Macaca mulatta: one gene and its partners. The protein of the gene in region 2 interacts with the protein of the main gene of each other region in a pairwise test. Links are inferred from orthologs where the notes say so. Each region holds a gene or a part of one and is shown on either strand. Other genes may lie near its edges. The genes, in order: SMAD9, GRN, GLRX3, ARFGAP1, NLK, C10H22orf39 and NUFIP2.

Region 1 (3,979 bases), on a different chromosome or scaffold from region 2:
GGCAAAGGCTTCCTTTGACTGTTGAAAGAGGCAACCAAGGTGAAGGCCTAGCATTGATCTTCCATGTTGCTTGTCCTCAGGCCAAGTCTTCTGCTTGGATTACAGGAGTCTTTTAATCTTATTTCTACTGCCTTAAAAAAAAAAATCCTTGGAAATTCCCAGGGATACTATTCAAATCCATTTAGTTTCTGAGAGCTTCCAGAGCATTAGAACTAAAACTAGAGCAAAAACATGTTGTATCTCCAGGGTAACTGCTTCAAAATGGGTATAGTCCTAATCATTTTAAGGCTGATTGCTTTGTCAACGGTTTACACTATATGAATGAGAGTTACAATGACTGTCATTGTGACTGTTCATCACAAATCATCATGTTGGGCTTATTTTCCCGTATTTCCCCAGAGACCATAGTTCTTACTGACCTGAGTGTTGATAGGGACTCTCTGGCTCAGAAGGACTTCCTGGGGAGTGAGGGTAGCTGGCCGTGCACGGGGACTGGGAGAACGCGTGGCTGGGTGAGGGAGGGAGTGCAGAGCACGGAGGCTGCTGGAAAGAGTCGGGATAGGTGGCGTTGTGTGGCATGAGTGGCTCACTGTGCAGGGAGGCGCTGCGGAACTTGGCCAGGAGGCTGAGCTGGGGGTTATATTCACTGTGTCTTGGCACGAGCACAGGAGGCAGCACTAGGATCAGAAAGGAACAGGGCAGTTAGAATTGAACATTGCTCATCAGTACACAACAGAGCGGATACTTGCTGTTCTTATCTATTTTTTTGATGATAGAGCTGTTTTTGCCCCTTGAGAACTACTCCCATTAGTCATTGTGCTCATCATAAAACTGTCGATTCAGTCCCCATCTCCACCTAAGAAGCGAGCACGTGAGTAAGCTAAGGTAACAGTCTTCTCCTTGTAACCCGAATCTTAAGCAGAATGTCATCGTTCACAAAAAATATTTGCAGAAGGATCTTTCCAGTGTCAGCATCTAAAGAGACCTGCTATTTATTCCTACCTTGGAAATGACCAGAGCTGCCCTAATACCTGGCCTTCTGGCGAACTGATGGTTACATCTTTCTTTAATTCTGCCAAATGAGTCTTTTTTCCCCCAAGGCAGAATCCATTTCTATTGCTTGCAATGAAACCCTAAGTGATGCCCAGAATATTTTTCCTCCAGAGATCATGTTGAATTATTTAGATGACCAGACACAATTTCAGGTTCAGTAGTGCTGCTGAAATAAAAACATTCTATGCGTCCTTAATGGAAAGATTTCAAGGTGAGTAATTAAAAGTTATTAAGTAAAATACAAACGGTGAATAATAATAAAAGTGACTAAGTAAAAGATAAGCAGCAGCAGGACACAGTGGCTCACGCCTGTAATCCCAGCACTTTGGGAGGCCGAGGCGGCCAGATCACCTGAGGTCAGGAGTTTGAGACCAGCCTGGCCAACACGGTGAAACCCCGTCTCTATTAAAAATACAACAATTAGCCGGGTGTGGTGGCGGGAACCTGTAATCCCAGCTATTCAGGTGGCTGAGGCAGGAGAATCGCTTGAATCTGGGAGGTGGAAGTTGCAGTGAGCCAAGATCATATCATTGCACTCCAGCCTGGGTGACAAGAGTGAAACTCTGTCTCAAAAAAAAAAAAAAAAAAAAAAAAAAGGTAAGCAGCAGTAAGAAAACATAAATGATGTTTGTTCATTTTACTATGCTTTTTTGGATTTCATTTTTTAAAAAGAATGTTACAGTTCTTGATTTTGATTCTATGCAAAATTTCAGAATAAATTCAAATTCTTAAGGGAAAGTTTTGCCTAGGCCCTCACGTCCTACCGACTCCTAGAAGGTTACAATGCCTGGCATAAAGTAGCTACTCCAAAAATGTTGTTGGAGAGCCATCTGCAACCAACATAAGTTCCAGACAGAGAGGCAAAGAAAACACAAGGGGGAAGAGGCCTAAGAAATAACAAAGGAAAACTTCAAAGAGCTACGAAGGACCTATGTCTTCATATTGAAAAGAGCCACAGAGTGCGCTGAGCTCAATTAATGAAAATAAGATCCCGACCTAGTCTTTCCATCTTGAATTTCAAACATTGCGGGATAACTGGAATATTCCAAAAGCTCCTAGAGGATCACCACAAAGTCACCTACAAAGAAATGAGAATCAACCGACCTCAACGTCCCACTCCTACCCTGGCTACTAGAAGTCAACGGACCAACACCCTTCTGAGGACAAATAATTCTTATCCCCAAATTCCACAATGGAAACCACTGGAATAACGAAAAACAAATACAAACTATGAACTAAAATACAGAAATCAAGGACTGAGAAGAGGAGGAAGGAAGAAGATTAAAATACAAGTGTGTGAGGCCAGGCGCGGTGGCTCATGCCTGTAATCCCAGCACTTTGGGAGGCCAAGGCAGGCGGATCACAAGGTCAGGAGATCGAGACCATCCTAGCTAATATGGTGAAACCCTGTCTCTACTGAAAATACAAAAGATTAGCCGGGTGTGGTGGTGGTTGCCTGTAGTCCTAGCTACTCAGGAGGCTGAGGCAAGAGAATGGTGTGAACCTGGGAGGTGGAGCTTGCAGTGAGCCAAGATCTCACCACTGCACTCCAGCCTGGGCGACAGAGAGAGACTCCGTCTCCAAAAAAAAAAAAAAAAAGGTGTGTGTGTATATATACATACATATAAATATAAATAAGAGTGAAATCCTCATCTTTTATGTTAGAGAGTCAATGACATCTAAAGGTCACAAATTTGGAAAGAGATATGTAAGCATGTATTATCTAGAGTTACTGTCATAATTCTTAGTAATAATAGAAAGAAATACAAAAGAACTAAGCAAGAATTGTTTAAAACAGTTTGTCTCTGGGTATAAACAGGACAGATCTTGGTTCTAATCACTCTATTGATTTGTCAGTCACAGGCAAGTATTAATAAAAACTCACAAAAAGCAAATGTTCTAAAACTGCTCTAAAAAATAAGGTCTTAAAACAGGTAAATGTTTTGGAATAAACAGACAATAACAATAACAGTGACAACCCCAAAGTCTGCCATCTGCCTTTGACATCATACATCTCTCTCTTTTTTAACAAGCAATAATTTTCAGTTACATGGACAGAAAATAAACTCAAAAGGGTAAATGAAAGGTTTTAAACTAAAATTGCTACAAGTGAGGGTGGCAGAGAAACAAATAATTTCTTCCCCTTTTACAAGCTAGTATTTGTATACGTATGTAGCCTATGACACCAGAGAATAAACATTCAACATCACCATGAAACAGTGACATGGATAATAAACCATTAAATTTCCTTTAATGTGTTAATATTCCACAACTATGCAGGAAAAAAATGATTATGTGCCTCATGAGTAGTCTGAAGTGAGGAGTTGACACAGCAAATGCGTATGGCTTCTTTGTCAATGACCCTTCATCAAAACGTTAACGATGTTCAAATAAACACTCACTTTTTTATGAAGAAGAATTTGAATAATCTCTGTGACTTCAGTTTTAATGTAAAATATCTACGGTGTATTCCTAACACTGATAAAAATATAATGCCTCCTATCCATCTGAATGTAGAGACTTCTATTTCTTCATGGCCTGTAGATCTGAGGCACCAAGAGAAAATAAATGATATATTTCCTTTATTGTAACAACTATCTTGATAATATATTTTTACCATCTGAGTAAAATCAAAGCCAGTGGATGTTTGCAAAGAAAACTAATGGTTTCATCCTAGTTGTGATTTGACCTGACTGGCTCAGTTGCCTTAAATGTGCACAGATCATATTTTTAAATACCTTCACTCAAAAACACAGCTATCCCTAATTACTTAATTCCACTTCTACATCTCAACTGCTGCTTGTAAATATGACAGTGTGCTTATAGACACTTATTCCTATCTTATGCCACTTTTAAATACCATGCTATCTTTACATCTCAGTGTTACCCAGGAGGAAACAGCGGAAGGAGTTACAGGGCACATGGG
Region 2 (4,480 bases):
CCAAGCCTGCTCACCCTTTTTTTTTTTTTTTTTTTTTTGAGATGGAGTCTTGCTCTGTTGCCCATGCTAGAGTTCAGTGGCATGATCTCGGCTCACTGTAACCTCCACCTCCCAGGTTCAAGTGATCCTCCTGTCTCAGCCTCCTGAGTAGCTGGGACTACAGGCACCCGCCACCATGCTGGGCTAATTTTTGTATTTTTAGTAGAGAGGGGGTTTCACCATATTGGTCAGGCTGGTCTTGAACTCCTGACCTCAGGTGATCCACCCGCCTCAGCCTCCCTAAGTGCTGGGATTACAGGCTTGAGTCACCACACCTGGCCTCACCTTTACTTTTTTGTTTGTTTGTTTGAGACGGACTCTCCCTGTCTCCCAGGCTGGAGTGCAGTGGTGCTATCTCAGCTCACTGCAAGCTCCACCTCCTGGGTTCACGCCATTCTCCTGCCTCAGCCTCCTGAGTAGCTGAGACTACAGGCGCCTGCCAGCACGCTTGGCTAATTTTTTGTATTTTAGTAGAGACGGGGTTTCACTGTGTTAGCCAGGATGGTCTCGATCTCCTGACCTCGTGATCCACCCACCTCGGCCTCCCAGAGTGCTGGGATTACAGGCGTGAGCCACCACGCCCAGCCACCTTTACTTTCAAAGGAAGAAACTGAAGCTCAGAGATGTTAAGTACAGTCAGCCCTCCGTATCCAACCAGAGATCAAAAAATATTGGGTGTGGTGGCTCACACCTCTAATCCCAGCACTTTGGGAGGCCTAAGTGGGCGGATCACGAGGTCAGGAGTTCGAGACCAGCCTGACCAACATGGTGAAACCCCCATCTCTACTAAAAATACAAAAATTAGCCATGCGTGGTAGTGCACACCTGTAATCCCAGCTACTCAAGAGGCTGAGGCAGGAAAACGCTTGAGCCCAGGAGGTGGGGGTTGCAGTGAGTGGAGGAGATCGTGCCACCATACTCCAGCCTGGGTGATAGAGCGAGACTGAGATTCCGTCTCACAAAACAAAACAAAAACCCCAGAAAATGTTACATTGTTGCTGAGGTATACTATGTAGTTAGGCTTAGGATGGGTGCATCTATACTGAACATGTACAGATTGTTCTTTCTTATTATTCCCTAAACAATTCAGGATCACAACTATTTACATGGCATTTCTTTTTTTTTTTTTAATTTATTTATTATTGTTATACTTTAAGTTGTAGGGTACATGTGCATAACGTGCAGGTTTGTTATATATGTATACTTGTGCCATGTTGGTGTGCTGCACTCTTTTTCTTTTCTTTTTTTTTTTTCTTTTTTTTTTTGAGACGGAGTCTTGCTCTGACGCCCAGGCTGTAGTACCGTGGCGCAATCTCAGCTCACTGCAACCTCTGCCTCCCGGGTTCAAGCAATTCTCCTGCCTCAGCTTCCTGAGCAGCCTCCTGAGTCTGCTACCACACCTGGCTAATTTTTGTATTTTTAGTAGAGATAGGGGTTTCACCATGTTGGCCAGGCTGCCAGTCTCGAACTCCTGACCTCAGGTGATCCACCCACCACAGTCTCCCAAAGTGTGGGGATTACAGGCATGAGCCACCGTGCCCAGCCAACATGGCATTTCCATTGTATTAGGCATAAGTAATCTAGAAATGATTTAAAGTATGTATAGGTTATATGCAAATATCACACCATTTTGTATCAGGGACTTGAGCACCCACAGACTTTGGGGTCCTGGAACCAGTTCCATGAAGATACCAAGGGACACCGATAACATGTCACACATCAGGTCATGGTGACGACAGGCTTTGATGGCCCCAGAGCGTATTGGACCTGGGTTAATATCACTAGTGGCACAATGGGCAGTGCCTGAGAATGGACCCCTACGCCCCAGGGGGATAGGTGCAACAGGTACGACAGAAACAGGGACTGCCTGGAAATCGCACTTGAGTCCTAATCCTGGAATTGCCAACTGTGAGGGCCTGAGAAGTTGCTCCCTGTCTGTGCCTCAGTTCCCCCACGAGTCTATGTGTGGATACCATTGGAGGGGGGAAGGGCAGGAAATGTCACCCACTCAGTCACTCACATCCTCTCTGCTCCAATTGGCTTTCCTCAAGTGCCCCTCCCCTAACTCAGCATCCCGAAGAGGCCACCTCCTGGACAGATAAGGATGCAGTTGACTGGTCCTGGACAGTGGACCCTCTCCTCAGCCCCACAGCTCCCAGGCAAAACACCTGCAGCTGGCACTGCCTACTTCCTGCGTGTTCTCAGCAGGCTGTCCGCTGCCCTGGCTTGCTGGGAAGGGGAGTCTGTCTGCACAGGAGTGTTCAGCTCTCTGGTGAGTTACCTGTGCATGGCCCCTCCTGTTTACCCTGAGTTGAGGGAGTATAGTGTATGCTTCTACTGAATACATGCACACGCATACAGAAACAGGGATGAGGAGGCGAGTCGCAGTCTCTCACGCCACCCTACACCGCCAAAACAGCCAGAGGGGACAGCAGCCTCTTCAAGACCCTAGCTCCGTTATCTTCCACTAGGTGGCAGCCCCCAACTCCGAGTGCCAAGGGGAGAAGAAATTCCCAAAAGGGGAGCCAGCCTAGCTGCAACTGAGCAGGAAAAAGTGGCTGGGAGAGGCGGAAGTTAGCTCGTCCCACCCCCAAAAAGAGGAAGTAAGGAGGAGCCAGACCAGGTTCAGTCACCACTCCCAAGTCCCTACTACCTTCGAGAAGCCAAGGTTTCAGGTCCCGTTCCCAGGCCCTCGGAGCTCCCAGCCCAGGGTCGCGCGCCCCTCCGGCTTCAGGCCGCCGCGGGAACCACCCACCACCACCACGAGAGGGAAAGAAGCCGGCACCTACCGACAGGGGTGGAGCTGAGTCAAGAATGGTGTGGTCCCTGCTTTGGGGGAATGCTGGGGAGGTAGAAAGCCCCCTTCTAACAGAGGTCACTGCAGTTACTGCTTCCTCTTTCCCATAAAACTCCCTCTAGTGTATCAGAACCCCCAAGGAGTTTCAATAAGCGGTTCTTGTCTTGTCTCCGGCTGAGACTCCCGGGGAACCTCAAGCTCACATGGCCCTGGCCGGGCCCCTGGGCAGGAGCAGGCCAGAGGTCTGCGCGGCCGCCCTCCTACCTGCGTCCGGATCCGCGGTCCCTGGGCAGCAGCAACCGGGCAGCGCTCAGACTACAGATCCCAGCGCGGTGACCCGCCTACCTCAGTTTCCATTGGCCAGGGATCAGGGCTGCCGCACTCCCATTGGCTACTTATCAATGTGGAGGTGGGGCCAGCCTGGAATGCTGTGTTTCTTTTCTACTCAAATCACTCTCCTCCCCGCTTCCTCTCGCCCCACACCCCATTTCTAGGGATCATGTGATTGGAGAATCATGTGACGCCGGGCCAGCCTCAGCAGGGCAGCTGGTGCTCGTCGCCTTCTTTCACCCATCCTGCAGGTGCCTGGGGGAGTTTGCTAGAGATGATAGCGCGTGTCTGGGGCATTGACAGTGCGAGGGACTGTTATGAATTGGGAATATTTGTGCTCCTCTTTCTATTCTTTTGTTTGTTTGTTTGTTTGTTTTGAAATGGAGTCTCACTCTGTCGCCAAGCTGGAGTGCAGTGGCACGATCTCGGCTCACTGCAACCTCTGCCTCCCGGGTTCAAGCGATTCTCCTGCCTCAGTCTCCCGAGTAGTTGGGACTACAGGCGCGCGCCACCAAGTCCAGCTAATTTTTGTATTTTTAGTAGAGACGGGGTTTCACCATGTTGGCCAGGATGGTCTTGATCTCTTGACCTCGTGATCCGCCCGCCTCGGCCTCCCAAAGCGCTGGGATTACAGGCCTAAGCCACCGCACCCGACCTTGTGTGTTTGTTTTAGAGAAAGGGTCTCGCTTGGTCGCCCAAGCTGATCATAGCTCACTGCGGCCTGCAACTCCTGCTCCCAAAGCGATTCTCCTACCGCAGGCCCCCGAGGAACTGGGATTACAGGTGTGAGCTACCGGGCTCACTCGCTCCTATCCTATCCTATCCTGCCCTGTCCTGTCCTGCCCTATTCTGCAAACTCGGATGACATGCTAGGCAGGGCCCAGAGTGAGTTGAAGGATGGTTTCCAGGACAAAGATAAACAGCCCAAAAGCCCTTTCCTCCAGGTGCTCAGCAGGACAGGGGGCAGGGATTGGTGGGAGACAGTCTCAGGCTGAATCTAATTTAATATACAAGGTCGTGCGCCAGTTGCCAGGTGTGGGGAGAGGAAGTAGATTGTCTACAGGTGGGGAAGAAGATATTTCATTCCACCTTAGAAGCATCTCCTTGAGCTGAGTTTGGGAAGATTTTAACTGGCAGGTGGAGGAGGTGTGTTGGGAAGAGCCCTGGGAAACCAGATGGGAAGGGCAGGCTTGGCAGGGATTGAATGCCATGTTCAATGCCAGTGGGCTTCAGGAGCTGCTAGGTGCCTGGCACAGGCAGGGCTGTGGCGGGGGCTGTCGAAAGGGAAGTGGCTTCCTAGTCTCCCCTGGCCCT
Region 3 (3,721 bases), on a different chromosome or scaffold from region 2:
ACTCCACAGGAAACAAAACAGAGGCCACCACAGGACAAAAACAGCCTCTGCAGTCAATGGAGCTCAAGCTTTGTTTCTATAAAACATATTGGTCCAAAGTGCTGATGTCATTTCAGTGGTACGCTAGTGCTTCACTTTACAAAAGCATGTGTTAAGAACTTTTATTTTGGCCGGGCGCGGTGGCTCACGCCTGTAATCCCAGCACTTTGGGAGGCCAAGGCGGGCGGATCACCTGAGGTCAGCAATTCAAGACCAGCGTGGTCAACATGGTGAAACCCCATCTCTACTAACAATACAAAAATTAGTGGGGCGTGGTGGTGTGCGCCTGTAATCCCAGCTGCTCAGGAGGCTGAGGCAGGAGAACCACATGAACCTGGGAGGCAAAGGCTGCAGTGAGCCAAGATTGCACCATTGCACTCCAGCGGGGCAACAAGAGTGAAATTCCGTCTCAAAAAAAAAAAAAAAATTTATTTTACAACATAACTAGAAGTAGTACTACTTGCTATTTGTTTTCCACATAAAAAGTCGGAAGATCTGACCTCACAGAAAATTCTCTAATGGACTGAGGCAAGAGGAAGGTCTGAGGGCAGTCGGCAGCCCACCTTTTGGGGCAGTTTTGTTCTTGTCCCCGAGCAGAACCTGGCATTCCTGCCCAACATTCCTGTCTAGCTCCTCTCTATACCCACCCGGCTACCACCCTCCTCGATACCACCATGCCCACAGTGGGCCTGGGGTGCAGTGGGGCCTGTGGGTAGATATTAAAGCTACAGCTTCTGTTTACTGTTTTGGGCTAATCAAAGAGCTATGGAGCACACAGGTGCTAGTTGGTGGGCCTGCCCTAAATTCTAGATATTAAATATGAGCAAAGTCATGTCCATTTAAAACTTAAGCAAGAAGTAAAGTCACTTATTCATCCAACAACCATTTACTGAACTCCTAAAATACACAAAGCATCAGGAAGGACTCAAGATACCTAAGAAATGGTGTCTTCTCTAAAACACTTACAATCTAACAGATAACAGATTTCCAAACATCTGAAAACCAAAAAGCGACCTACATTTTTTCTCTCGGGGGACCAGGGGCAGTGATCTTCAGCCTCTGTGGCAAGGATGGGCAGCATTGGGCCATAGGCCTCACACTGCTGTCGGTCCATGCACCCAAGGGCAGGTGAGTAACGCAAGAAAAAATAATTTGTTGGCTGGGAGCTGAAGCAGGATCTCACAAGGACCCTGAGTGGCAGGTAAGATCACCCCACAGAAAGGGGATGAAATGGCTAGTTCAGGTGTGGAAGTAAGAACCGGCTGCCAGGTGGGGACAGTGAGAATGGCAGGGTACTTATGCACACAGAAACGGTGATACTGGTCTAGAAATGCCTGAGAGTCAGGCTGGAAACAAGAGTCAAAAACAACTCTCAAGTTTCCATTCAATATGAAATCATTTTTAAACACACCAAAGTCTTCTCCGTTCTTTAGAAGAGCAGAAGAACTGACTTACCTTCACGATATCCAATCCTCCCACCAGCTCCCCTTTCACATACAGCTGAGGGTACGTTGGCCAATTTGAGTAGGCTTTTAATCCTTGCCGAACCTAAAGAAACAAGAGTCCGGAAACCATCCTGTCAGGCCCTTATGATTAAAGCTAAGACAAAGGTGAAACATCAGACACAGAACTTACTTCTTCATCCTCCAATATATCGAATGTTTCATATTCAACACTGGAAGAAAGAGAAGACATTTTAACTGGAAATACAGTTAAATCAAATTGTAAAACCTCTATGCATTTGATGTTTTTAAAATAATCAAGAAAACTATTTTGTTGCTAACAAAATGTACTACAGACCAATGGAAATGATTTTACTTCTTAATCTGTCTGGTACTACACAGAATTAGTCATTCCAAGATACGACTTTATCTAGATTTTTCTCCAGACAATATTGGGTTAGACCAGGGATGGGGAAACGTCTTCTTAAAGAGTGAGACAGTAAACACTTCAGGCTTTAGAGGCCAGTCTCTGTTTTAACTGCTCAGTTCTGCTGGGCAGCACAAAAGCAGCCACAGACAACATATAAATGAAGGGATGTGGCTATGTGCCAATATAAATTTATTTACAAAAATGGGCAGCCACCTGCAACTTGCCAACCCCTGGGTCAGACCCACATCCCCATCTGCACAAGCCTTCATTAACTGAACACTCTCATCCACTTCTAATATCTAATCCACCCCCAGCTGCTGCTTCTTAACCTCCTGGAAGCTGCCCGTGGAGCAGGAAGTAGTAGTGCTTGTGGACGGAGGCTGGAGGGCTCAGCAGCCAGATGACAACCACGCTGCCAGTTCCCTCCACCTTAGCAGGAGACATGCTTTCCACACTTAAACTTATTTCAGAGAGGGCGCTGTTTTTAATGTACAAAAGGCCAATGAAAGCTTTGTGGCTTTATGCCGTACAATGAACATTACTCGTACAAAGAAAAATCACTGCATGAATGTCCAACTGTATCTACTCAGAGTGATTTCACCGTTAGGTGGTCAGGTATTAGCAAGCATGTATGCCTAAATCCTTGCAGGGTGCCTGAGGGTACAGGTGCAATTCCCAAAGGTGGTCAAAGAAAATGCTACATGTAAAAAAAAACTAGACTTTCCATAAAACTGAAACCATCACAGGGAAATCTTGTTTATTTAGTAAACAAGTTCCCAAGGAAACTGTCTATGGTGCAGGGAACAGTAAAAAAAAAAAAAAAAAAAAAAAAAAAAAAAAAACTAAATGACAGGATAAATCAGAAGCAATTACCAAAAAAGGAATGTTTGAAAGAAGAGCAAAAAAGGACCCCAATGTAAACCTAATGTTTTTTTAAAAACCCAATGTAAGTCTTTGTTCAAGCTGAACTAACTAAAGGTGGCAGATCTCTTAATACTGTGATAAAAACAATGAGTTATAAAACTATTCATAAAGGATCCAGGAAGCACTGGGCCCAAGTGTATGTATGTGGCGTCCTAACAGTCAATACACTTCCTAAGAGTTATTCATAAAGGGTACCTTTCAAACCTCAATATACACTTGGTTCTCAGCCACTCATGCATGTGTATTTTGGCTACTAAAGGAAAAGATAAGAAATGAGAAAAAGTAAAAAGGAGTTTTCTCCACATACTTTGACTCCAAACAAGAGCATGGTCTGTTCACGTTAAAAGAAGCTGAGGTCCTGGATGGCCTCACTCATCCTAGAGCCAATCATGCTTAGCAAGTCCAGAGCTGGGAGTCATTCTCTCCCAAAGTAGCCTCCTGCTCTCTGCGACAACAGGGTGCTTTCAATACAATGGAGATCAGACAGATATGGGACAGAAAGCCAAGTTACCAAGATGTTCTACCACAGACATGAGCTGGGTCAGGCCCAGTGTGTCGGCTCAGAAGACACCTGAGGAACCTGGTGCTGCTTAGGGAAGGATGGACTGTGTGTGTCTCACTGTGGGGCTGCAGCAGAGGGTTGACAAAGAAAAAGCAAAATGACCAAAAACAAGCCAGCCCCCACTGTATGGCCCAGGGCAGGAGTGAAGAAAGGAACAGGCTGGAAGTTACCATCACAATACACTCACTGTACTTGCCTCTATAAAATGTCATAATAATCTGAAGAAAACAACCACATCTTTTTTTTTTTTTGAGACAGAGTCTCACTGTCACCCAAGTGGGAGTGCAGTGGCTTGGCTTCAGCTCACTGAAATCCACCTCCTGA
Region 4 (3,979 bases), on a different chromosome or scaffold from region 2:
TCCCAGGGAAGACACGGGGCCAGAGTGACCACGGGGACCTCTGACAGGTGCGCACTGTGACTGGGGAAGCCACGGGGCCAGGGTGACCATGGGGACATCTGACAGGCGCGCACCGTGACTTCTGCTCATAAGAGCCCTAAACTGGGTGCCTTGGCTGCTTGTCTGGGCAGCTGCAGGCACCCAGCTGCCCTGCTCTGGGCTTCCCCTTCTCCTTTCACACCACAGCCCAGCCCCCGGGGGCCCACACCCCATCCTGATGCCAGGCCTGCTCTTGGGTCTCTGCCTAATGCTCCACTGTCTGCCCTGATGAAAGCCCCAAATCCTCCCGTTTCAGGTTGAGAAGCGGCGAAAGAGAGAAAATGCTACCAAAACACGACCTGAGCCCCAGAAGCTCTAGGGCACAGGGCACCCGAGACCTGCCCTGCTTGGTTAGGGTGGAGTCTAGGAATCAATGGGGCTCACATCTCCCTCACTTTCATCAGGGCGGGACCCCTTTGCCAGCAGCTGGTCTGACACAGGAGCGGCTCCTGACAGCCTGGGCTGCTGTGTTCCTGCAGAACCTCCAAGGCCTTGGGACCACCCTGGCTGGTACTGCGTTGGCACAGCCCATGGTTGGAGCACCCAGAAACCCTCTGTGTCCCACATCCCTTCTGCAGCTCCCAGAACGAGGTGGCCAGCGCAGTGGCTGCACACCTGCACCAGTTACCAGTGAACAGGAAATGAGTTTGGCCCCGCAGGCCCTGAGCGGGTACATGAGGCAGCCACCCTGGCATGAGGAGGGGAGCAACGTGGCGGGAACAGCCCCCTCCTACGCTCTGAGAGGCAGCGGCCCCCACAGACCAGCAAGCGGCCGGTGTCCTGAGGGCCTGGTGGGGACAGTGACTTACGCCCTCCTTGGCTGCTGAGGCAAACCGGCTGGCTCCAGTGGTGAAGCTGCTCCAGCCCTGAGGAAGGCGACAAAGAGCAGCTGCATCAGGACTGGGACCCAGGAACCCGGCGCTGAGCAGAGCATCTCAGCAAGGACGAGGACCAGGCCCCTGCCCTGTCCTGACCCCACAGCGCCTGCTTCGCCAGGCTGCTGGAGCAGTACAAATGGACCCAGGGCACAACGGACACGCGCCCTCTACCCCAACCTCGCCAACTGCAGTGCTCCCAACACGGTGCAATCCAGCCTCCTGTGGATCCCACCACCCTCAAGCAGCAAGCCCACACTGCAGGGCAGGACCCCTCCCCAGGGCCAGCGCTCCCTCCTGCCTCCCTAGAGGAACAGGCAGAGGTGAGGCATGTGGGGTCACAACTGCTGTAACCTGCTCTAACCTGCTCTCCTCCCCACGGCTGGCGCTTCCTCCTGCCTCCCCAGAGGAACAGAAAAAGGTGAGGCGTGTGGGGTCATGACCGCCGTAACCTGCTCTCCTTCATCTATGCTCAGGGTTTCCTCCTGAGTCTCCCGAGATAATTAAAGCTATTTAGAAAAATAAATGTCTCATTTCAATCACAACTCATCCTCTTCCTCCTAAAGGAAACACAAAGGGACCCTCACTTGAGAGATCACTAAGCTGAACTGCCTTCCCCAGAAAGCAGATGCCCAGCAAAAGGCAGCAAAAGGGCCACACACAGGCTGGAAAATGCACTTTTCTTTCCTAACGATGCAGCAATGACTGCAAGAGAAAGCAACCATGGCCGTCAGTGGCCCGAGGTGCAGCCAGGCCATCCCGAGCAACTGGAAGCCACACACACCTGGGGGCTCCCAAGACTCTATGGCAGGGCTCCTTGCAGATGAAGCCATCCGTTTTAAACCTGCTTATTTTTAGCTAACATACTTTGAAGATCTTGTCATGTTAGTATTAAAAAATCCTTTCTGGCCAGGCATGGTGGCTCGTTCCTGTAATACTGGAACTTTGGGAAGCTAAGCAACTCAAGAGGCCCAGGTGGAAGGATCGCTTGAACCCAGGGTTCAAGGCTGCAGTGAGCTATAAATATGCCACTGCACTCCAGCCCTGGCAACAGAGCAAGACCCGTCTCAAAATAAATAAATAAATAAATAAACAAGTCCTTCCTTGGCTCTCCGCGCAAGCTCCCATTCACGCGGCCCCTGTGGCCAGAGTCTCAGGTTGCTAGTGTCACAGACAATAATGCTGCGATGAATAAAAATCTTTCTTTTTTTTTGACACGGAGTCGTACTCTGTCGCCCAGGCTGGAGTGCAATGGTGCTATCTAGGCTCACTGCAACCTCTGCCTGCCAGGTTCAAGCAATTCTCCTGCCTCAGCTTCCTTAGTAGCTGGGGCTACAAGGCACATACCACCCTGCCTGGCTAATTTTTATATTTTTTTAATAGAGACGAGGTTTCGCCATGTTGGCCAGGCTGGTCTCGAACTCCTGACCTCAGGTGATCCGCCCGCCTCCACCTCTCAAAGTACTGGGATTACAGGCGTGAGCCATCACACCTGCAAGAATCATTTTTTAATCATTTTAATCATTTTTAATCATTTTAAAGACGGTAAAAATTTCCTTGGAAAATGAAAATCAAACAACATGTATTTCCGTTAATAGGAAAATGGCAACAAGCCCAGGGTGTCCTACTCTGAACATCTGACCTGGAGCTTCCAGGCACCCCCAGACCAGAGGTGGCCCTGAGTGACCTCGGGTAGCGCCCGAGCGGCTTCCCAGCACGGCCAGACCCCCAAGCACAGAGCCAGCTTCCCACTGCACACAGCACTCCCTCTGCAGAGAACACGGCCAAGTGGCTGCCGTCAGAGCCCTTGGGTTCCTTGGAAGAACGTCCGCTGTTAGATTTGAAATACACACATTTTGTGTCAGAAGTAAGTAAGTGTTGGTTGGGTGCGGTGGCTCACTCCTGTCATCCCAGCACCTTGGGAGGCTGAGGTGGACAGATCATCAGAAGTCAGGAATTTGAAACCAACCTGGCCAACCTGGTGAAACCCCATCTCTACTAAAAATACAAAAATTAGCTGGACGTGATAGTGGGTGCCTATAATCCCAGCTACTCAGGAGGCTGAGGCAGGAGAATCACTTGAACCTGGGAGGCAGAGGTTGCAGTGAGCCAGAATGCGCCACTGCACTCCAGTCTGCAGCCTGGGCAACAAAGCAAGACTCCGTCTTTTAAAAAAAAAGAAGTGACTGAATTTGGGATCTGAAAAATTTAAGCCACATTTTTGCAAGAAAACGTCACTGAAGGTAAGGGAGGGGTCCTTAGATCACAGCAAGGCCAAGAGCACGTGTTCCAGGACTGCCACACTGCCCCCGACGGCCCGGCGTGCCCTCAGTCCGGGTCTGCCCATGGGAGATGCTCTGCAGGGCCCACAAGTCCTCACCGAGTACAGGGAGGACATGGCGTTGTTGAGGAAGTCATCTTCTTTCTTCTGAGGCGGTGGCGTGTTCCCAAACCCCACGTAGCGATTCCCCTGAGCTCTGAAAACAAAGCGGACAAGAGGCTGAAGATGCTGGCGTGAACCCTGCTCCTCCTGAAGGTGTGGGGCCCTGAACAGAGGTGAGGCTGAGGCTCTGAGGGATGTGCCAGCGTCCCCCAGCACAGGACATGCACGCTGCCTCCCGTAGCAGCAGGAGCCTTGGCAGCTCCCCAGCAGCAGACAGACGTGCTTCCTGCTCATTTAAAAAGACCCTCCTGCCACATCACCAGAGAGGGTCCCCAGCAAGTCCCCAAACCCAGTCATAGAAGTACTGGAAGAAGGATCAAAACAACTTAATATGACAGCTTTGGGGATAAAAATTCACGTATAGGTCCAGCAAATTCCAAGCAGAAAATGTGTTATGCTTTTCTTCTAAGTGTTAGCTCTTCTCTACACCCAAGACCCCCAATCCACACCCGGGTGGGCAGCCGGGGCTCACTGCAGTCAGACCCTGCACCGGCACGTACGGGTCCCACACCCACTGCACACGGGAGGCCCCGAGGGAAGCAGCCCTACCCAGCAGACTGAACCCCGTGGGTCTGGCCTTCCC
Region 5 (4,762 bases), about 32 Mb from region 2:
TTTTAGCATTGTATGTAAGGCACTAAAAAAGCCAGCAAGCATCCACATCTAACAGGCTCCAAACAAGTGCTAAAAGTTATTAGTAAATCAATGACAAAATTTAAACCAAGGAACAACCATTTTCCTGTCTGCTCCATCCCCCAACCAAAGCTTGGAAATCCTCAAGAGTTAGGCAAGAATAGGAAGTTCACAGTTAAACCTCTTAGATACTCTGTGGAAGGGACAGAGGAAGGCAGGAACAGGCGGGTCCCTGAGCAGAATGACCGAGGCACCATTACCAGCTATACTCTTTCCCACCTTGAATCCCACACACTTTGGAGAAAGGGCTGCGCTGCAGCAGAAACTTCCTTGGGGATTAGCTGAGAAAATACTGGACTCTACTAGCTTTTTTAAAAAATGGATGAGATCACTTAGTAGCCTAGATTGTCAAATCTGAAATATAAATAAGATGGCCAGTTAAAATGCATAAACGATGCGCCCATCAATTTTAGCCTCAAAAACAATAACGAAAGGAGATATTTACCGGGCCAGTTCCAAAGAGTTCATTTTCCTATGGTAATGGGGGCTTTTCTAGACAGTAACAAGAATCAGTTTTTGAATGCACTGAAAATATCAATTCATCTATCCAAAGTGTAATCATTAGTCCTTGGGAGAAAACCCAGTTCATTCTAGTTTTGACAGGAATAAACATATTTTATTATAAACTACTAATCTTTTTAAGGTTAGACCAAATAGACCAAAATGTTATATTTAAGAAGCCCTTAGGCTTTTACAAATGTCCTAGCACTAGCAAAAGTAGTGTCATTTGTTTAAAAAGTATTATTTCCTACTACAGCAACTGACCAACAGATAATAGGAACTTAAGAGGCACTAAATGACACTAAAACATTACACTGAATGTGGGCCACTGCATAGCTAGTCTACTAACCTCATTTGTGGTACTCATGTGTGATGCTATATTTAATGCATTCTTATCAAAAGGCTACAGCTACATACTTCCCAACTGTAGCTCCATGGTTTAAAATAAACCACTCAAGCAATGATCTTAACTGGTTCAACTATGAATCCTATCTTTCTTCTCGAGATCAAGATCACAAAATAAGGAGTGAAAAGACAGAAGGATAGGAAAGTAGTTATGCAAAGTATATCGTAATGACAAGAGTATTATAAAGGAATTCAGTTTGGATCAGTTGCTAACACTTAATGCCACTGGGCAACCGATCCAAACTAAATCAAACACACGAAATGACCAAGGTCTTTGTAGGAGTTAGTATTCCATACATTCATCTACTGATGCTGTGTTCAGTGGCTTGCTTAGGTTCTAACAGAAAAGTTTGGTAGACAGCAAACTTATGTGTGTTGCTCATGAGAAGGTGCTCCACCAAAACTTGCCATGAGCCTAGACAGCCAATGCATTAGGCCTAGACAGCCAATGCATTACCACTTTAGTGAAGGTGGCTTCCTACAGTTGGGTTGAGAAGCTTGCTCCACCTTGGTCAGCATGGAGAAAACCACGAGGGATGCACTCACCCAATCACAACCATCAGAAGAAACCATGAGAGGTTGTGTTTTTCTTTGGATACTCACCAGACAACACCAAAGGCTCCATATCCAATAGGTCTATCCGGCTCAATATCCAGCTGCTGTTGTGGATGATGCGAGTGCTGATGATGGTGCGCCTTAACTGTAGCAGCTGCGGCAGCCTGTACCTGAGCTGGGGCTGCTGCAGCTGGTCCAGGAGCCTGCCCCGGTGCCGGTGATGGGAAATATGGCTGTTGTTGCCCAGGGTTTAACATGGCTGCAGCTGCAGCCGCTGCTGCGGCTGCCGCAGCTGCCGAAGAGGTGTGCTGCTGTACAGGGTGTACAGCGGCAGCCGACCCCGGATGAAGATGGTGTTGAGGGTGGTGGTGGTGGTGCAGGTGAGGAGGAGGGAGGTGTGGAAGGTGGTGGTGATGGTGGTGGTGGTGACCTGCTGCTGCTGCAGATGTACCGCCATTGTAAGCCGCCATCATTTTTGCGTTGGCTCTTGCGCCACAAAGAGACATTCAAAATAAATGCCCTTTGATTGGAAAGCAAACTGGGTCAAGCTGTCATTTGGCCATTTAAAAATGAAGAAAAACCACTCACTCCACCTCAAAAAACATAGAGCGTAACTGGCTTTATGTCTTCATCAGTCAATCCAAACAAGTTAGAGGATCTTGGTGTTTAATTTTGGGGTGAGCGTGTGTGGAAGGGTGTGGGTTGCCAAAAGGAAAAAAAAAAGGAAAAAAGAAAAGAAAAAGGAAAAAAGGACCCCTTCCCCCCAGGATTCCTGCCACAAGTGGGTACTAAAACTCCATTCTTAATTTGGGGGAGGTTCCAACTTTGAATGTGGGAATAAAGGCCAAACCTCCCGACCCCCTGAACTCCACACACGAAAAGGATCAGGTAACACACCACCCTTGGAATCTTGAAAGAGGGTTGAATCATCTACCCCTTCCATTCCCACATCCTTTTCTAAACACCTACCACCTCCTCAAAAACAGGATTAAAAAAAATTCCCACTACCCTAAATGGAGAAGATGGGGGGAAATTTTCTGGGAAACCAGCTTCCAGCGTCCCCCCCCCCTCGAACTCTCAGGCCTTCCTACATCTCCCCCTACTCCTAGTCAGGTTGACCTGATTGGGGAGGGGGGGGCGGGGGTTCTAAACTTTCCTGGGCAGAATGAGCCAGGGAAGGAGGCTGGAGTGAGGAGAGGAGGCGACAGCAGGACAGAGAGGAGAAAGAGAGGTAGGGCAAAAGTGAAGGGAAGGAGGTGCAAGGAAGAATGAAAGATGTGGGCAGCGCTCGGACGCCTAGACAGCGGGAACCGCCCCGGGAGAAGGTTAGGGTCCCGGGGCCAAAGAATAGGAGCCCCGGGAGGCGGGCGGAGTACGGTCGGAAGCGGGCTGACTCCTGCCCCCGCCGCCGGCTGCTTCTGCTGAGGAGGGTTGGGGGGGAGAGCGGGTGGGTCCCCCGCGCGACGGCCCCTCAGGGCTCAAGGCTGCTCCGTCTCCCCCCCTCCCCCCCACCCGGCTTCCGTCCCCGCGGCCGCTTTCTCCTCAGCCGCCGCGGCCGCTTTCTCCTCAGCCGCCGCCTCCTCAGCCGCCGGTGCCGCCGCGGCCGGACTCACCTCCCCTAGCAAAGCCGGATAGACCGGAGCCAGCGGCGGACACGCGCAACCAGCCGCCGAGGCCCCGCCCCCGCCTTGCACTGACCGGCTGCCCTAGCCAATCCACGCCCACCTGTCCGCTACCGCCTCCAATCCTGGGCCAGGAGCTTCAGACAGGCGCACTGTTCGGCCAGTGGCAACAAGGTGTGGGTCTTCTGGGGAAATCCCGCCCCCGATCCGGGATGGGCAGATAGAAAGACCAATCAAAGGCAGAGTTTGGCTTGACCGACACGGCTTAAAGCCAATGAAAAAGCAAAGATCTTTGTGACATTTTTCTTTCGCCTCTCTCCTCTTTTTTCTTCTTTTATTATTTATTTATTTTTTGGCAGGAGCAGGAAGCTGCGTGCTAATCCCGCCTGCAAAAGCTGGAAGAGAGGGGCGGAATGAAAGAACCAATCATGAGCCAGAGGCAAAGAACAGAGTAACCAATCCTTGGGTTGAAAATGAAGTATGCGGGCACCTGGGCCAGATAGACACTTGACCTGACAAATGGAAAAAAAGATTGATGTAAGTCCCACCCTTTATAGCTCCTCTAGGACAGGATTGTGGAGAATTTGCTGTCATATCGAGACAACCTCTTCCAGGGGCGGGGCTTAGGAAAGGGGTGGGGTCTCAAAGTGGGCGGGACCTAGACGAAGAAGGCGGACCCCAAATCACCACTGGTCCACCGATCCCCGAGCCGTCTAATATACCACTTAAGATGTAAAGTGTGGGGCAAAAATAGGGGAAGAAAAAGGGAATGCTGAGCTTCAGAAAGTCAAGGTCCAAGGTCACTCAACAAGAAGACAGTCACAAAAGAAATTCAGTAGACTGACAGTTCATAGTCTACGGCCGGTCCTCTCCATGGTTAATCCTGATCTTGGCAAAAAGAGGAGGAATCTCCAGCATTCAGAACTCCACTGTCAACAGATGATAAAGTTGTTGGTGCAAATTAAAACAAAAAAGTAAACTTGGCCACAAAAATAATACTTTTCTTCCATCTTTCTTTCTTAACAGGGTTACGTTCTGTCACCCAGGCTAGACTGCAGTGGCACAGTCCTAGCTCGTTGCAGCCTCCAACTCCTGGCTCAAGCAATCTTCCCGCCTCAGCTTCCCAAGTAGCTGGGATTACAGATGTGCACCACCATGCCCGGCTGATTCTTTAATTTTTTAGAAACAGAGTCTCAATATGTTGCCCAGGTTGGTCTCAAATTCCTAGGCTCAAGAGATCCTCCCACCTCCCACCTTGGCCTCCCAAAGTGCTAGGATTACAGGCGTGAGTCACCGCCTCCAGCCTCTCCCATATTTTCTATCAAGTAAGTTTCTGTCATTGAAATCTTACTAAAATAGCATCTTTCCTTTACATCACTTGATTTATCTGAATTTACCCTTCTTTTAAAATGTGAAATAATAAGCTTACAGAACCTTATCCCTACCGAAACTGCATAGTTTACTCAGAAACTTGGAGGTCATCTTCAATTCCTCCTTTGCCTGTCCACGTTGTCCCTTCCAATCAATCAATCATCAAGTCTTTTTTTTTTCTTTCTTTTTTTTTTTTTTTGGTGAAGGGACATGGTCTCTGTTGCCCAGGC
Region 6 (2,765 bases), on a different chromosome or scaffold from region 2:
TGTCCAACATGTGGACACTCAGATGTTGTGAAGGAATTGCCATAGCAACAAATGCAGGAACATCCTGTCCAGAGAGATTATCTGCTGATGTGGAACTTGAGTAGTGAAGGAGGAGGCAAAATATGACAGTTGCACTACAGAGGCAGGACTCAATGCTTCCTAACCGAGCATGCAGTCGCACACTGCATACCTTGCTAAACAAGCAGGTGGCAGGGAGCATGGCTGCACTGAGGGAAGGCCCCTCATGGACTGGGGTGCTGGCTGGCATGCCCTGGCTTTTGCTGCACTCTCCAGCTCTGCCCCATGAACCTGAAGGCAGCTGCTGCAATCCCAGGCATCACATGCAGACTGCCAATTCATTTTATTATTTTATTTTTGAGACGGAGTCTTACTCTGTTGCCTAGGCTGGAGTGCAGTGGCACGATCTCAGCTCACTGCAACCTCTGCCTCTGGGGTTCAAGCGATTCTCGTGTCTTAGCTTCCTGAGTAGCTGGGATCACAGGCGCATGCCACCATGCCCAGCTAAGTTTTGTATTTTTAATAGAGATGGAGTTTCACCATGTTGGCCAGGTTGGTTTCGAACTTCTGACCTCAAGTGATCCACCCGCCTTGGCCTCCCAAAGTGCTGGGATTACAGCAGACTGCAAATTCAGATGCCCCTTCCCTGTGTTTAAGAGTAAGAAAAACCTTGTAGATCTCTAGCAGTCTTCTTCTTTTCCCTCACTGGGTGGAAATGCTCATTAATCCAGCCACAGCCATGCTGGAGGCACCTTGGTTGCCTTAGACACATCAATACTCCCCTGATGATGGGGGAACGCTGGCTCCGCTGTAGATGCTCCTGCTCTTGGGATCCTGTGAACACAGCCCCCACCCCCACCGTTCACAGACACAGACAGGGGCTCTTAGGGAGCACAGGAGAAAACACTCAAGCAGGGAAATACTGTTCTTTAATGGACACCCTTCTGAAGTGATGGATTGTTCTACCCCAAAGAACAAATTTAAAGATATTCAACTTGCTGCCTGTGTCCAGGAAGAGAGCAGGGAGGGTGCTGGGTACAGACCCAGCCTAGCCCTCAGCATCACATAACAGGGCCACCACAGGATGAGAAACCATTCTATTAGTAATAAAGAGACTGCTTCGAGAAATAGTGTTTTTGGTGGTTCATACATTTTAAAACACCTACAAGAGAATAAGCATACAAGTTTCTAACACTGTCCAGACAACACTGTTATATATAAAATCTAACAAATGTAAACTTAATTTTCAGCTTCTATTTGAAATCAGATGAAATGGCTTTTGATACATTAACCACCAGGGGAAATTTTTTTGAGGGAAGGAGTCCTTAATTCCACATGTCTTGGACTTGGATTTCTTAAGGTGAGTCCACAAACCCTCTTTATGCAACGTTGTGTGTTCTGTAGCTGTGTGCATTTCTTAAAAACTAGAGTCTCCAGGGGCCGACCTGGGAGCCTAACAAGTGAAGCCTGCTGGTGCAGAGGGGCCAGCAAGCCCTGCCTGCTCGGCACACCTGCCTGCATGTGCAGTGGAACTGAGTGGAGCAGAGTGTGAGTACTCACAATGTTCACCAAACCTGAGACATAGCAGGCAGTTTCCCAAGGACTAGGAAAGACATTCACAGTGGCGCAACTGTTTAGCTACCTCATTATGACCCACCTGTGTGTCCATACAGGTCAGGGCTACCCTTCAGTTTACCTGAGAAGCCTAGACCTCAGGACCGCCATCTCCTATGCTACTGTGCCCAGCCTGACCTGGCTGCTCACAGGTACCTGGCCATAATGCTTAGCCTCCTGGAAGCTCTGAAGCGGTGCAATTGTCCTGCAGAACATCGCAGCGTCAGGGTACCCTGCAGGCTGGTGAGGGGTGGGCAAGTAGGACCAGCAATGTCCTGCTCCACGTTCCAAACCCAGCAAGAGCTCACAGGGACCCACTAGACTGTGTAGGCTGTCACAGTCCCCAGGGTTTTGCAACAGCAACTTGAAACAGACCAAGGAAGCTGCACAGGCCAATGGCAGGGGTGCTTGTCACTCGTCCTTCTCCTGCGGCAGAGGGAGATGCCAGTCTGGAGGGGGGCTCTGCCTCGGGGCCCACACCAGGATGTGCTTCCGTGCAGCCTGGACTCGTGCCCGTTCGCTCTCACAGAGGGAATGCTGTGCAAATAAGACTCTAGTCACTCCCCAGGCTCTGAGCACCCTCAAGACCCCTGTACCTCCCCCCAAAACACAGATGGACAGGAAGGGGCCTATGGTGCACACCACTGTGCAGCACAGCTGCATCCACCTTGGCGAGTATTCCATATTAGCGCACAGAGATTGAGATCATTTTGTTCTCACAAACTACTGTGAAAAACTACTGAATAGGTCATACTAATTTGAGGAATTTTAAAATATCTTCTCCCGGACCTCAGGGCTCAATGGCTCTGGCTGACCTTGTGAGTCTGGGGCGTATTCACCTGCTGAGAGTGAGCCTGGGGGTGGAGTGGAGAGGAGAGAAGAGTCTGAGACAGCAGCTGTGGGGAGCTGCAGGGAGGAGTGTGGTAGGGAAGAAGGGAGGAAGACAGGGAAGAAATACATGCCCAGGGTATCCTGGAAGGGTGGGAAGAGTCCAGAGGACAGACCACCTGCCTGAGTGGTGCCACAAGTGCCATTCAACCCATCAGCTTCTTCTAGCTACTGTATCCCAATACAGACACGGGTCAGTGTATCACAACACGGGAGACCTTCGCTGTGGGCCCTTGGTAAGTATC
Region 7 (4,490 bases), about 31 Mb from region 2:
TCTCCAAACTGAGCTGAACCAAAACTAACTAGAATAATTCTTCCTAAGATTCTAGTTTGTAGTGACTCAGCTATTAGAATTCACCAAACAATGAAAAAACGGCTTAGAAGCCACTGTGCTCCCACCTGTAAGTTTTAATAACAAAAAAAAGAAAATCTCGTTTAACTACATAAAACTTTCCTCATGACAACCTTGTTGGTATGTATAAAGTATGCCAGAAAGAAATTTTTTTATATCTTAGATATTTAAGAAAAATGTAAACATTATAGAATAAATTTAAGAAATTAAAGGACTCCTAGCGCTTTTATTATTTAGGGCTGCTTATACATACTAATCCTACTTCCAAAAGACTCAGCAAAACTTGAGTCCTGATAAATCTAGCTTTTCAATTAGAAACAAATTACTCAACACATTTGGCCTTCTCTTGCGCCCTCTTCTGGATAAACAAAAAAAACTGTTCCTCTTTAGGTTTGTGAGTAATGGGTTACAAAAGCCTACCTCAACATGTTACAGATAAATTTCAAAAATATTGTAATGTTTTCTTAGTTATTAGCATAATGCATGTCAAAGCAACAGTACTGTGACCAAACCATACACTCGCCCCAAATTGTTTATACTCTGTCAAAACTCCTAATTCCAGTTTCCTCCTCTTTATCCACGTCTTCCGAGATAAGAAATATTTGGAGGAATACCACCTTGAATGGTTTAGGGGCTGCTTCTACATGTAGAGAGAAGTCTTGCAAGAGTATATTTACCTGACCGATGAAATACAATTTTTCAGTCTCAACAGTAATATTGCCTTATGCAGCCATAATACGGTAGTATTTTCTCATCTTTTGAACAAGATCTAACGCTAAAAAAATCTAGTTATGTAGTCCCTAACAGTTTTTAAACTGCTCTAAATCTTTAGGATTAAACACCTAACTCGTGTGTTACGTGTTCACTTCTGTTGCATACCATCGGGTCCCTAACGAACTCCCAAAATGGAAAATCTGACACTCTAATTTCAGTCTTCAAGTTACAATCTGCAATTTAAAAAGCACTTAGTTTTTCTCCAGCTCTCAACAATTCCTTCTATCAAATTTGATACGCTGGGTTTAACATACGCTTTATGCTTCCTTTCTCTTCGATTTATATAGAGCCCTTATTTTTCAAAATATGCGAGGGTTATAAACTTTTAAACTTACTTCTCGTGAAATACTTTCTTACATGACTTTTACCCTCAATTTCTCGTTTGTTAATATTAGTTTGGGGATCAATATCGACTTTAAAATACGAAAAAACACCTTTCTTTTTAACATGGAGAGAAGCCTCATCCGAGGCAAGATGGTAGTAATCTAACCTCATGGATGAGCCACTTGGGTTCACCCTTAAGGACAAGAAAGGGGGTCAAAAAGCTCGCCCTGTTCCTCATCCTAACATTTTAAAAAATCTCTCACCTCAAAGACACTACCCAAGCTCAGAAGGTAAGTGCCGGCTGGGGAGGGGAATGGAACAAGGTTTTTGTTAATTTTTTTTTTTTTTTTTTTTTTTTTTTTGTAGAAAATGAGCTGCTAGAAGGAAAAGGCCCAAGTGAAAGCCTCAGAGGCGGAGTCGTGAGCGAACCTGGCAGGAGACGAGGTTCCTGTGGCAGAGAAACTCGTGACCGGGGAGCTGGGTTCCCGCTGGGTACCCCACCCGGCCTCAGGCACCGCCTCTACCCAAAATGAATCCCCCCGCCGCCCCCCCAGGCCTCCTGCCCCTAGGAGCGCCGCGGCCGCCGCCGCCGCCCGCGGCCTCCTTCCCCCTCAGCTCCGCTTCGAGGCCGGCTCCCCGCCCCGACTGCCCGCGCCTCCCGCCGCACCCGGGAGCGGGAAACGCGGCCGCTGGCGCGCGGGGCCCTGCGCAGGCCGCTCCCCTCGTGGCCGCTTCCCTCCCCCACCCCAACCGCCCCCGCCCCTCACCCCAGGGACCCGCCCGGGGCCTCGCGCCGCCACCGGGTTACACAACCCCGGCCGGTGACGGGGGAGGGGCGGCCGCGGAGCGGGGGGCGACGGCGCCCCCGCAGTGCAGGGGGCGAGGCGGCGGCCGGTGGTGATCCCAGGTCACCCAGCTCCGACGCGCCGTGTGGCCCTCGACACCCTTCCCCCCCGCTCCTCAGTGGGCCGGAGTCGGTGACAGGAATCGGCTTCCAACATGGCGGACAGGAAGCGGCCCCGCGAGGAGGAGAGAACATTCCAGCCGCGCCGGCTCTGGGGGGAGCGGGCCCGGGGCACCAGCCTTGGGAGGAGCCGCGGGACAAGACTGCGGGGTCCGGCGCCCAAAAAAGGCGTCTAGTGGTGGAAACGACCCGTGAGATGAGGGGTCCCAACAGCCCCCCCCAACAAGATGGGGAGCCCCAAGGCCACAGGTGGGCTTGGGGTGGCGGGTGAGGGGCACTTCCTCAACTCTGCCTACCTACCCACCCCTGGCCGCCTGCAAAAGGGTCTCGCGACACCATCCGAGGCGGGATTCGCTAGGCCTTCCTGAGTTACACCTCGAGGGATTTTTTGGGGGGTAGGTTTACCCCATCTCAGGGCCCCCATATTGAGGTAACTCCAGGGACGCAGAGAGGTGAATGGAAAAGAATAACGAGGTTGGACTTGCAAGGCCGACCCAGTGGGTCTCCCTTCAGCCGGGGCGGGGGCCGGGAAGGTCACGCTGGCCTGGCTGGGCCTCTCCCATGCTGGTGGGAAGGAGGGCGCTGCAAACCCCATTGCTCAGCCCGAGCCCTAGAATGAAAGGGGCATCCCCAGAGCCGGAGGGCACACACACACACACACATCCCGACCCCGTCCGCGCTTCTCGGATCCAGCCCCACCCCCATCTCCCCTGTCCTCCACCCCCAACCCCCTTCCCCCACCCGTCCTCCCTCCCAGACCTGTTTTCTTCTTCGGCGTTTCCTGGTGCTGCTGGAGGGTGTGTTTCTGCTCATGTTTCAGCGGCTTTGGCTGGGCCTTGGGGCTGCCCTCGGCTCCATGCTGCAGGTATTGGTGAGGCTGCTGGTGATGATGGTGGTGGTGGTGGTTGTGGCTGTGGTTGTAGAAATAATAATGGTGGTGGTGGTGCGGCTGCTGCTGCTGCTGCTGAGGGTGATGGTGCGGATGGTGGTGGCTGTGATGGTGCTGAGGCTGTGGCTGGCCGGGCTTCTCCTCCATTGAAAGCGGCTGGGACTCCCTGGCTGAGGCTGCGGGCTGCTGCACCGTCAGGATCTGAGACTGCTTCTCAGGGCTCACTCAGTATATCTGAGCGCGTCTCGCCAGCGCACTGGTTAACCGAGCGATTCTGCGAGATTGGCAGCCGCGCTCCAACAATCAGGAGCCACGCTGTACCGCAAGCCCCGCCCCCAGCTCAAATCCTCTTTCCTTCCCCTTCGCCGCTGCCGCCTGGCCAACGCCACTTACCCTGTGCAACCTCACAGGGCCGGGCCTTCAACGTCAGCACTATGGCTCTCTCTTCTGTCGCTTTCTCTCCTTCACCACGCAGTCTGCGAACAGCACTTTCTACACTCCTCGCCGGCAAGCAAGCTCATGTCGAGGGTAGCAGATTCCACTGGCGATTCCACTGGCGCTGGGAGCCATCTGTTGGTTTTGCACCTATTAGAATCTGGTGGTTTTTTTGTTTTTTGTTGTTTTTTGTTGTTAATCCTTTTCCGGGTAACCAGAAAGGGAAGCTCAATTCCCTTAACCCTAAGACCACTAAAGGGGCAATACAAAAAGAGGAAATAAATACATTTTTAAGAATACAAGAGCTTCACAATCCAGTAGATCATTTTGTATTCTGGATTCATTTTGCTTTGTATTCATATGCTAATCTCTTCCTTTCCACGAAGGGATTATAGGGTTCCACAATGGGGTATCTGTGTAATTTTCTAAAAGGGCACAAAGGGTTTAAATCATTGTTTCTTTGTAGTTGGAGGCAAGGGGGAGCGGGAGGAATGAAAATCTACACTGAAGGTTGTGGTTTTTTTTTTTTTTTTTTTAATTAAACTGCAGGTGAGGTCAACTATGGCACCAAAATAGGTTTTAGAATATGAAGTTTCAAGAGCAAAGGAAGGGGAGAAAGAGCATTTAAAAGTTATTAAGTGGGATTTTTTTTGCACTTATGGAAAAAATGAAATTTAAAGAAATATTCTGTAGCGTGTTGTAGTGTAGATTTAACTTATCCTGCATTACCACATCACAGTATGATTTTCAAAAGCAAATGTTAGAGCCATGATAGTGCTTACTCAGGAAAAGAGGGTTGTGATGGGGAGGGACACAGGTTACTGATAATATTTCATTTTGGGGGCTAGGTGGTGATTATACATATATTTGGTGGTGATTATTTGTTAAACAATATACAGGTAAAATGTACTTTTCTCAATGTATGTTATAGATTGGGGATTTTTTTAATTGTAAAATATTCATAATATAAAACTTACCATCTTAATATTAAGTGTACAGTTCAGGAGCATTAGGTACATTCATATT

Evidence for each region.
Region 1: the proteins of GRN (region 2) and SMAD9 interact in binary tests that used the Homo sapiens proteins (3 or more experiments, as listed by UniProt). The link is inferred for Macaca mulatta from reciprocal best matches to the Homo sapiens genes GRN and SMAD9.
Region 3: the proteins of GRN (region 2) and GLRX3 interact in binary tests that used the Homo sapiens proteins (3 or more experiments, as listed by UniProt). The link is inferred for Macaca mulatta from reciprocal best matches to the Homo sapiens genes GRN and GLRX3.
Region 4: the proteins of GRN (region 2) and ARFGAP1 interact in binary tests that used the Homo sapiens proteins (3 or more experiments, as listed by UniProt). The two-hybrid records come from large-scale screens. The link is inferred for Macaca mulatta from reciprocal best matches to the Homo sapiens genes GRN and ARFGAP1.
Region 5: the proteins of GRN (region 2) and NLK interact in binary tests that used the Homo sapiens proteins (3 or more experiments, as listed by UniProt). The two-hybrid records come from large-scale screens. The link is inferred for Macaca mulatta from reciprocal best matches to the Homo sapiens genes GRN and NLK.
Region 6: the proteins of GRN (region 2) and C10H22orf39 interact in binary tests that used the Homo sapiens proteins (3 or more experiments, as listed by UniProt). The link is inferred for Macaca mulatta from reciprocal best matches to the Homo sapiens genes GRN and C22orf39.
Region 7: the proteins of GRN (region 2) and NUFIP2 interact in binary tests that used the Homo sapiens proteins (3 or more experiments, as listed by UniProt). The link is inferred for Macaca mulatta from reciprocal best matches to the Homo sapiens genes GRN and NUFIP2.

What each region holds. Positions count from the first base shown.
Region 1 is NC_133422.1:16,483,096-16,487,074, forward strand, and holds part of SMAD9 (mothers against decapentaplegic homolog 9), read right to left. Parts: intron 678-3,979; coding exon 420-677; intron 1-419. UniProt on the Homo sapiens protein: Transcriptional modulator activated by BMP (bone morphogenetic proteins) type 1 receptor kinase. SMAD9 is a receptor-regulated SMAD (R-SMAD).
Region 2 is NC_133421.1:68,721,952-68,726,431, reverse strand, and holds the start of GRN (progranulin), read right to left. Parts: upstream 3,134-4,480; 5' UTR 3,101-3,133; exon of another isoform or gene 2,829-3,100; intron 2,825-2,828; 5' UTR 2,693-2,824; intron 1-2,692. UniProt on the Homo sapiens protein: Secreted protein that acts as a key regulator of lysosomal function and as a growth factor involved in inflammation, wound healing and cell proliferation. Regulates protein trafficking to lysosomes, and also the activity of lysosomal enzymes.
Region 3 is NC_133414.1:142,215,987-142,219,707, reverse strand, and holds part of GLRX3 (glutaredoxin-3), read right to left. Parts: intron 1,715-3,721; coding exon 1,675-1,714; intron 1,588-1,674; coding exon 1,495-1,587; intron 1-1,494. UniProt on the Homo sapiens protein: Together with BOLA2, acts as a cytosolic iron-sulfur (Fe-S) cluster assembly factor that facilitates [2Fe-2S] cluster insertion into a subset of cytosolic proteins.
Region 4 is NC_133415.1:116,138,316-116,142,294, reverse strand, and holds part of ARFGAP1 (ADP-ribosylation factor GTPase-activating protein 1), read right to left. Parts: intron 3,431-3,979; coding exon 3,334-3,430; intron 945-3,333; coding exon 888-944; intron 1-887. UniProt on the Homo sapiens protein: GTPase-activating protein (GAP) for the ADP ribosylation factor 1 (ARF1). Involved in membrane trafficking and /or vesicle transport.
Region 5 is NC_133421.1:36,729,812-36,734,573, reverse strand, and holds the start of NLK (serine/threonine-protein kinase NLK), read right to left. Parts: upstream 3,175-4,762; 5' UTR 3,144-3,174; exon of another isoform or gene 2,952-3,143; 5' UTR 2,046-2,951; coding exon 1,588-2,045; intron 1-1,587. UniProt on the Homo sapiens protein: Serine/threonine-protein kinase that regulates a number of transcription factors with key roles in cell fate determination. Positive effector of the non-canonical Wnt signaling pathway, acting downstream of WNT5A, MAP3K7/TAK1 and HIPK2.
Region 6 is NC_133415.1:33,265,535-33,268,299, reverse strand, and holds part of C10H22orf39 (synaptic plasticity regulator PANTS), read right to left. Parts: intron 2,170-2,765; coding exon 2,044-2,169; 3' UTR 1-2,043. UniProt on the Homo sapiens protein: Negatively regulates long-term potentiation and modulates adult synaptic plasticity. Stabilizes the interaction of RTN4 isoform A/Nogo-A with its receptors, inhibiting clustering of postsynaptic AMPA receptors at synaptic sites.
Region 7 is NC_133421.1:38,014,422-38,018,911, forward strand, and holds the start of NUFIP2 (FMR1-interacting protein NUFIP2), read right to left. Parts: upstream 3,191-4,490; 5' UTR 3,177-3,190; coding exon 2,900-3,176; intron 1-2,899. UniProt on the Homo sapiens protein: Binds RNA.